Linked DNA regions of Mus musculus. The protein of the gene in region 1 interacts with the protein of each later gene in a pairwise test. Links are inferred from orthologs where the notes say so. Each region holds a gene or a part of one and is shown on either strand. Other genes may lie near its edges.

The links.
Region 2: the proteins of Tfg (region 1) and Mapk1ip1l interact in binary tests that used the Homo sapiens proteins (3 or more experiments, as listed by UniProt). The two-hybrid records come from large-scale screens. The link is inferred for Mus musculus from reciprocal best matches to the Homo sapiens genes TFG and MAPK1IP1L.

The regions. Positions count from the first base shown.
Region 1 is NC_000082.6:56,714,580-56,719,169, forward strand, and holds the start of Tfg (protein TFG), read right to left. Parts: upstream 2,872-4,590; 5' UTR 2,606-2,871; intron 1-2,605. UniProt on the Homo sapiens protein: Plays a role in the normal dynamic function of the endoplasmic reticulum (ER) and its associated microtubules. Required for secretory cargo traffic from the endoplasmic reticulum to the Golgi apparatus.
Region 2 is NC_000080.6:47,297,015-47,301,443, reverse strand, and holds the start of Mapk1ip1l (MAPK-interacting and spindle-stabilizing protein-like), read right to left. Parts: upstream 3,056-4,429; 5' UTR 3,039-3,055; intron 2,669-3,038; exon of another isoform or gene 2,512-2,668; intron 1-2,511. Other genes in the region: uncharacterized protein Gm35078, read right to left, coding at 3,056-3,461.

The DNA.
Region 1 (4,590 bases):
TCCCCTCATGGGTTTTTCTTATTATTATCTCATTTCAGGTTATTCAATATGATTGTCCTATGAATTTATAATCCTAATTCTGAACCTTAAGACTTTTAGTAATTCAAATTACTACTATAAAAGTGCATATTTAGGATCAAGTAATGGGTTAATATTTGTTTTTCTGCAAGGCCAAGTAATTCCTTAACATGCTTATCTATAGACACAGAATGTTCCTACTCTTTTTACCTGTTCCAAGTAAATGACCAAGAGCACCATTTAAGCTGTCCTGAACCTCCCACAGGCTACTCTGCTTTCATTCCTGAACTTTCACTATTGCCAGCTTTCTGTCTCCTTCCCTAAAACTTACTGAACCTCCATTTTCACCCCCGCCCCTTTAATGTGGAAAATCCCTCACCAAATCACCAAACTATTCATCTTGAATTGTTTTTCATGAGTCCTAGCTTATATCATGAATATTAAATATAAACCTCCCAGTAGTCCTCACATAAACGCTCTATCTAGTCTTTGCGTCTAACTATCCCTCAAATGAAAACAGCCCTTCACTACAAGGTCAAAGCAGAAGAACAAAGTGGAACAATGTTCCACAATCTGGATGCCACAGTTATCTTAATGTAAAGAGCACTGTTGGGTTTTGTTTGATCAGTCTCACAGGTGACTTCTAATGGCTGTGATGACGTGACACCTCTATAGAACCAACTCTTACATTGTTGGCCCAATTTGTTCTCCACCTTTAGAAAACATTTACATAACATCTACTCTACCCCAGGCTCTAAAACATATTAAGTTTAGAAAGATAGTAACTATCTCATACTTTCATTGATAGTCTGACAGGAATGAAGATCTTACAATAAATCTGCATTTACTGCCTTCTATCTATAGGCCATATAAGTCAGCAATATAGACTAAGGACCGGTGCTTAGAAAGCTGAACACTCTCAGTTCCTGAACCATAGAACCATCTCACAGTACCTTCTTTACCTGGCCAGAAGGGGCACCTCATATCAAGATACACTCCCAAGTAAGACCAAGTTCCAGCACAAATGTACTTGGTAATTAATATGCCCTCTGATGGAACTGGGAAGCACTCAGCTCCAGTGGACCTAAAAGCTAACATTACATATCCTTAACATCTACCATGGGTGGCCCAGTTTCATTTCTAGTTTCCTCCCTGCAGTCTTAGCTAAAAGTTGTCCATTTGTGTAGCAATGTCAGGCACCACCGTTATTTCCTGTCCCAAGAGAAAACCTCGTCCACACAGCTGTCAACTCTGGTCCTGCCTTTCTCTAAGCAGGTAGAGATTAACATGAATGAGTTCCTAGAACTACTGTTAAGATCACTATGCATTTTCTGATGCATCTCGTTGCTGTCTTACTACTTCCTAAGTCCAGAAGTGACTCAACCTGGAACTTAACCTTCATCCAAGAAATTCCTGGTAACTGGGATACACTGATGTGTCCAAGGACATAGCCCCTGCACTAGGATACCTCAGCCTCAGGCACCTGTTGCTTAACCTGAGAAGAGGCCCTCTTTCAGAAGCTTCTAAAACGCCCACCCTCTAAACAAGTTTCTTTTTCCCTTCTTTCTTTTCTTGTCCCCGCCTCCCCAAGACAGGATTTCTCTGGGTAGCCTTGGCTGTTCTGTAGACCAGGCTGGCCCCGAACTCAGAAATCCACCTGCCTCTGACTCCTGAGTGCACCACCACCAACTGGCTCCTTTTTCTTCTCTATTTTTTCTTTCTCTCTTTTCTTTTCTTTCTTTAAAGAACCTTGATTATTCTAAAACTGTAAGTGGGTCTCAAAATCTGTATGACACGCAGTGTATATGGCAAGAATGTAACCATTTTCACTGGTAGCTATGTGAGCTCAAGTTCTTCTCTGCGGCGTACTTTCTGCACATGCGAAGGGAGCCTAACAAGCTACTTTGGTAGAATCTTTGAGATTACCTATCTACAATTCTCCCTACCGTGCCCAGAGACGGCAACTTAACAAAAGTTGGCAACTGTAATCAGTAAAACTGGGTAGGGCCCCAAGAGGACACTAAGCACGGGAGTGTACGACCGAATGGGGCTCCTTTCTGTGTCCTCAATCTACCGATTAACTCCAGGTCTACGCTCCAACGTCCAAGCCACTCCCGGGGATCAGGCACAAACGCTTTGGGCTTTCTCAAGCCCCCTTTCTATGTCTTCCATGATTCACCCTCCACCTTCCAAGTTGCTCTAGAGGGTGAAGCACCGAGCAAACGCCCCAGGCTTCTTCGATCCCTGGTTCTCGACCTCCGTAAGAGGTACCCCCAGGCTCCCCTCTACTCTCTGGGGCCGGAGGGAACAGGACTTGGGGTATCAGCGGGGCCAAACGCCCTCCAGGTCAGGCCGGGCCGGGCGCCCTCTCCTCCCCCTCCCTCCCTCCCTCCCAGCCGCCCCTCCCCCATGCCGGGCCGCTCGTCCGCCTCACCCGGGCCCTGCGCCCTCCCTCCCAGCCCCTTCCCACGGTCCCCAGCCCCACCCTCCCACCCGGCGCTGGGAGGTTCCAGAAGCCCTGCGGCCCTCCCGGTTCCCCCGACCTCCTCCTTGAGTCGCCACGCGCGCCTCACTCCGGCGGACATACCCCGCTTGCCGAGGCCGTCCACCTCAGCTGACCCGGCCGCTGCGGGCTCACTCGGTGTCGCAGAGGAGGCTTCCAAACCCCGTCCGCTCCGCCGCCGTCCGCCGAGCCTCGCCGAGCTGCAGGCTGCGCAGAGCTGGCCAATCGCACGCACCCGACGAGCCTAGCGACAGCCACGGTCCCGTACGTGGCAGGTGGGAAGCGCAGGGGCGGGAGCGAAGGGGAGAAAAAAAAAAACTGCCCTGGCGCCCCGCCTCCAGGCGCACAAGCCAGTCAGGACGCATGCGCAGTGGGTGAGGGGCGGGGCGGGCGAAGACCCCGCTGCGTCGGGTGAGCGGCCCGGCTTCCTCACTGGATGACCGAGTGTAGGAAGTGCGAGCCGAGGCGGACACGCATGCGCAGGGAATTACCAGCACTTCCGGTTTTCCGGGCAGCCAGTCTTTCCTAAGTCTGGCTGCTGGGTGGGCGGGGCGTAGTCTGCAGGGCTGGGTTTGCTACGAGAGCCTGGGGGAAGTGGGGCATCTGTCCAGAAAGGTTTGGGTCTTGTTGCTTTGTGGCTGTCGTGACTACGCGCTAGTCTGTCACATCTCGGAAAAAACGAACCCCTTTTCCGCCTTCTTTCTACACGTTCATTCATTCATTCATTCAGGATTGAGTGCCTACGCTTTGCCGAAAGAGTGCTAGGATGAGTCAGTTCCCCAGCTAAGCTCTACCCAAACATTTAGGAAGATCCGAGTTTAGAGGGCACACCCACCGGTGCAAAAGACAAACTTGGATAGTAAAAACCGAGGCTTCAAGAAGGCTTTTATAGGATAGAGATTTGACCATACCCTACACTCGCCTAAATTCAGTTTTCTTTTTGCTTTGGATGTGTTTAAATGGATGGAACTTGAGAATTATCATCCTGAGTGAGGTGACTCAGTCACAAAGGAGCAAACACGGCTTGGACTCACCCTTGAAAAGACTGCTTACACATTGGTCCCTGACTAGTGTCTGAGCAACTAGAATTCAACAATGCTTCCACTGTTCTTTATTAAGAGCCATCCCTTGTGTCTAAAGTGTTTGAATAAATGTATTTTACGCTGAACACATTTCAATCTGCTTGCAATCTGGGTGCCAGGAATCTTAGTACACAGCAACCAGTGGGTCCCGTAATCTCCTTTAACAAGAAGAAGAAGAAAAATAAATAAATAAAGCAAAGTGGAGTGGTATAATCTAACACTACAATCTAAGTCTTACAAGTAACTTCTGGCAGACTATTCACATGGTTTAGGGACTTGTTGCTGGAAGAAATTAAGTGTGTCCAGGAAGAAAGCTTAGATGTGTGCTCTGGTCTCATACAGACTTCTTTCTTTATAATTTGTTCTTTTGCTATGTTCCTTTATGTTCTTTTCTATAATACCGTATGTCCTAGACATGGATACAGTTCCCTATAGTATCTGTGCAAAAACCATACAATGCCTATAGATGTAATTTGAGCATACTTTTTATTAAAAAAATCTACATCTAGAAACACAGAGATCTCATTACCAGAATAATCTGGAAAGAAGAGGTTGTAGATTTTGTAGCAGTGCTCAGAAAGGACTTTAGTACTGTTGCTTGTCTGCTTTCAGGACAATATATTCATTCACTACTTAACTGGGGTACTATTTTGTTAATAATTTCAGCTTACCTTCATAGTCACAAATTTTAGTGGTGGCCTGAAATTCAGAGTTTTCCTTGTCTTGCTTATTCCTTTATAATGTCTTGTGATCTTATCTCAAATCACATGACTTGTAACTGTCATCTAAACTCCCAGTCTAGAACACATCCCTTCTCTATTGCTGTCTAGTGAGTACCGGGTGGTTGGGGGTAGGGGGTTTCATCTTCATTTATTATCACCAAGGTCCAGAAAGTCTCAGTTATAATATTATGGTTTCATGGCAAACAAAGTCCAAAGTCCAACAAATTGTAAGATCATACCTCTGCATGTAGCAAAGTTCCACTGG
Region 2 (4,429 bases), on another chromosome or scaffold:
TAAGACTCAAGCACACACACACACACACACACACACACACACACACACACACACACACACCTTTTTTCTTTTTGCACAATTACAAACTTTAAACAACTTTCCGTTACTATTTAAAAACTAGTCACTAGAAGAGAAAAATACCTGTCAGCAGATTTCATGGTCTTTACGGAAATCATCCTCATTCCGAGTGTAAGGAGGGGAAACGTCCATTGAGTTATTATGACAACTGGCAAGCAGTGCGTTAGAGGGAAAGGCCACCAAACTTTGACTGGAGACCAAATAATATAAGACCCCATATTTAAACACGAACATTAAACCTTCTGGACAAAAGCAAGGCTCTTAACAATCTTGTAAAAGCCGTGCCTCCTCGATACCCCACCACCAGCTGAAGTTCAAGAATCTAAAGACACAGGCAGTGAGACCATATGGATAAATAAATTCAGAGAAATCAAGGAAAATCAGGACTTCTATGATTTTTGTATGGGTGAGTGTGACAGTGTTAATTCTGAGATTTACCAGAGAAAAACCAATTCCACCATTTTGGGCCAAATTTGAAGGAAGCTTTATTAGATATTAAATACTGACCAAGAGATGGACTTTGGCCAGGACCACTAACTGGCACCTCCAGCTGGGTGGCCTGGAAACACATGTTGGAGGGGCTTTTCTGGACAAAACTCACTGGCCCCCATACTTTCCCACAAGATTTTATTGTTTTCCAAGAACTACAACTCTTAGCATTCTGGAAGTTACCTGGTTCTTGGAAGGGTGAGGCTTACAGGTTAATTTTGGGCATTACATTAGTATATATTATATTGAAAGCAGATTCTGGATCAGTACTGGGTAATTTATCAGATTATATTCCATTTTATAACTGGGTAAGTAAAAAAGCTTGGAATGTTTTGAACATCATAGTAGGAGCTCTTATAATGTATTCCTATTAATTGGAACCCAAGCTTTAGAGTAATTAGTGGCATGGCATAGACATTCCTGAGAAGTGGTATCTCTGCAGTCTGGAATAAAAGCTAGAGTATTAGGTTAAAGACAGGCTCCGGGGTAAGAACAGTTTGTATAAAACCAGAGGAAGACCAGTCTGGGGGAAAGCAGATGCAGTTCAAATTGGCTGGAATACCAGAAAGCAGTAAGACGTTTTAGCAGAGGGTTTTGGACAAGAGTGCTAAATAGCTTTACAGCTTACTTGACTGAGTCAACCTCAGTTTCTTCATGAAGTTAGAATGGGCTGTCATGCTATACAGGAACTAAACAGGACTTCATCTGACCCAGTGACTAAAACTGGAAAATAGCAACAAATGTCCAATTCTCTCTTCCTGCCATTCTTAACATTTTAAAAACTATACACGGGGTTGTTCACTTCCATGGAGGTTCCCCAGAAGGCTAGAAGTGCTTAATGTCCTGGAGTTATACGTGGCTGTGAATGCTGGGACAGAACTCCAGTCCCCTGCGAGAATAGTGCATGTGTTCAACCTGAGCCATCTCTCTCCACACTGCAGCCCCATCTTCTCCTTCTCACTTAAACACAGAACAAAAAAGCCACCAGAGTAGACTGCCTGCCTGGCCTATGGTCAAATCCAGTTCTCTGAGTCCCATACATGGCAGTAAATGGGTATTTTCCAGAGATTTGCTGAGGCTTATTATACTAATCTGTAAATAAATCTCTTAAGTCACTGCCTGGCACTGAGCAAAAAACTCAACAAATGTTAGCTTTTACAACCGATACAATATGGCCACAAACCTTTGTCTATTTTCAAAGCAGAGAGCAACTAAAAAAAAAAAAGCAATTTCCTAAGTACTGCACAAACTTATTTGGTGGCAAAAGCTGACCCGACATTATTTATCCATTTCATTTTCCACCCACTCCCCGCTATAGTCTGAATAGTTACAACTGCTGAATTTTTTTCTTTCCTTCCCTAAAGTTTTGGGACTTGAATTTAGGACCTTGTAGCAAGCCGGGCTAGCACTTATCTACAGGCTCACCCTGTGCAAATATTACTAATTAACAGTCCCCGAGTCTAGGGCTCCTCTATAGTTAACAGTCACAGAATCTCAAGATTGCTGAATTCCTAAGGTTCCTGAGCCCAACGCTCAACCTCTGTAGGGAGAATGAAGATGACACCGATTCCTTCTGTAATCAAAAAGAACATTCCAACCTCGGCAGCTGCAGGAAAAAGTTTTTGAAGGGAAGTGTTCTAGAGAGTGGCTCCAATACTCCACGACTAAAAACTGCCCTCCTCCCCACCCAAGGAGCGCCACTAACAAAGACTTCCGAGGGCGACTCCAGCTTCTGAGGGTTTGGCCTCCAAACAGGCCTTTCGCACATGGGGGAGGGGGCAACACGTGTGTGTTTCTGTAGTAGGCTGTTACACATCTACGGTGGGGTCTGGTTTAGATACTTCAACTTTAGGATTCGTGAAAACATTACTTTCAGTTTTCATGGCAGGGAGGAAAAAAAATGGTTCAAGCGTTCTAGCTAGCTCAAAGGAGAACGTCACTCACTCAGCCCATGGCACCTTCTGTCCCCCGTAGTCATTTAAAGAATGGGTAATTACGATCAGCGAGAAGCTTGTCACACAGAATTATCAGGCGCCAGACCTTGCTGTAAGGATTCGGGTCTCCTCCACTGTCGTTTTTATTAGAAATTAGTGGCTGGGATACCGGTGGAGGGGCAAGGGGACGGGGGGGGGGTGTGGGGGACAAACAAGCTGCCCTTTAGGGTTAAGGGAACAAAGGGAATCCGGGATCAACCGGAGCGAACCAGCCCCCAGCCGGTCACGCAGGCGGATGTGGGGGAGGGTCGCCCGCTCCCGCCTAACCCCTCACCCCCCGCCCGCCCCCGCCCAAGCCTGGCATGACGTGGGCGCCCCGGAACCCGACGGGCGCGACATTAGATCCCTCGGTCGCCTGGTTCCCGGGGGACCCTCCCCATCGAAAGCTCTAGAGCCGCCAGGCCCCCCGGGACCCCGCGTCTTCGCATCGTCTCCCGCCAGCCTCGCGCCCCGCCGCAGGCGCCCAAGCGGACTCACCCGGCAGGATCCGAGTCCTAGGCGCGGCACAGTGGCGGCGGTGAGTCCAGAGAGACGGGCAATGGAGACCCGCTGAAGGCCTGATGGACCGAGACGACAGCGACACGGCTCCTCCTGGCACCGGAAAAGGAAGCGGGGAGGCCGACCTGGCCGCCCGTTATTTCCGCCCGCCCCGCCCAGCTTGCACTGCGCCTCCAGCCGGCCGCCCACGAAACTGCAGGCAGGGCCGCGTGGCTCCGGGAGCCTGGGCTGTTTCCCTCTGGGTGGAGCGCGGGAAGGTTTCCCTGCTTCCTGAGTCCAAAAGACCCAAAGGAAACCCCCTGGCCGGTGATGCTCACCGCAACCCAGGGACTGAAAGCGGAGTTTGGATTCTCTGTGTTTAGAGGTTTTTGTAGACAGGCTCCAAGCTGGCTGTCAGTAGTCCTGTTAAAATCGAGGGTAAAGAGATGAGGGAAAAGGGAAGTCTTTCTAAAGGTCTTGCGAATGAAAACTTTTAAAAGCATATGTCTGCAGAGACTGAGTTGTATAAGTTGGAATTTCAGTACTGTGGAAAGATTGGAATGTTGCAGGTCCAGGGGCTAATTACCTTATCTTGGGCTAGTGCTAGCCCTCCAGAATAGCCACCTCTGTGTCAAAACTAATATCTTGTGGCAATAAGATTAAAAACCTTTTAGGTCTATTAACAGGCAACTAGCCTCTGCCAATCCAAAAGCTAAGAATGTCATCGGATAATGTCTTAGATGTATAGAAAAGCTTCCTCTATCTTGATGTACCCTCCAATGTATCCATCCACCAGTGTGTTTTAAACTTTGCCTTGATTTATAGCGTTCTCTGTTCTGTAAAACTAAAAACCTCGTGATACTGGTTCCATGTTGGGACATGGAATTTGAGGTAACCTAAATTTGTGTTTTGGTGCCATCATCATTCAAAAATGGGTCCAGAATAAGCTATCTCTGATTCCCTTTAAGTTTTAAATTAAGAATAGTGGCCTCAACCTGTGGTTTATGAACCCTTTGGGCGTCGACTCTTTCATAGGGGTCGAATATCAGATATTTACATTATTTATAACAGTAGCAAAAATACAGTTATGAAGTAGCCATGAACTAATTTTCTGGTTGGGGGTTACCACAACATGAGGAATGGTATTAAAGAGTCACAGTATTAGGAAGGTTGATAAGCCACTGCTGTAAGATGAGAGGTGTTGGGTTTTTGAGACTGGCCTCTGTTTCTGGGAGACTCAAAACTGACATACCAGAAAGCAAAATCTAAATCTACATACAGATTTTCAGCCGGTCGTGGTGGCGCACACCTTTAATCCCAGCACTTGAGAGGCAGAGGCAGACAGATTTCTGAGTTTGAGGCCAGCTTGGTCTACAAAGTGAGTTCCAGGA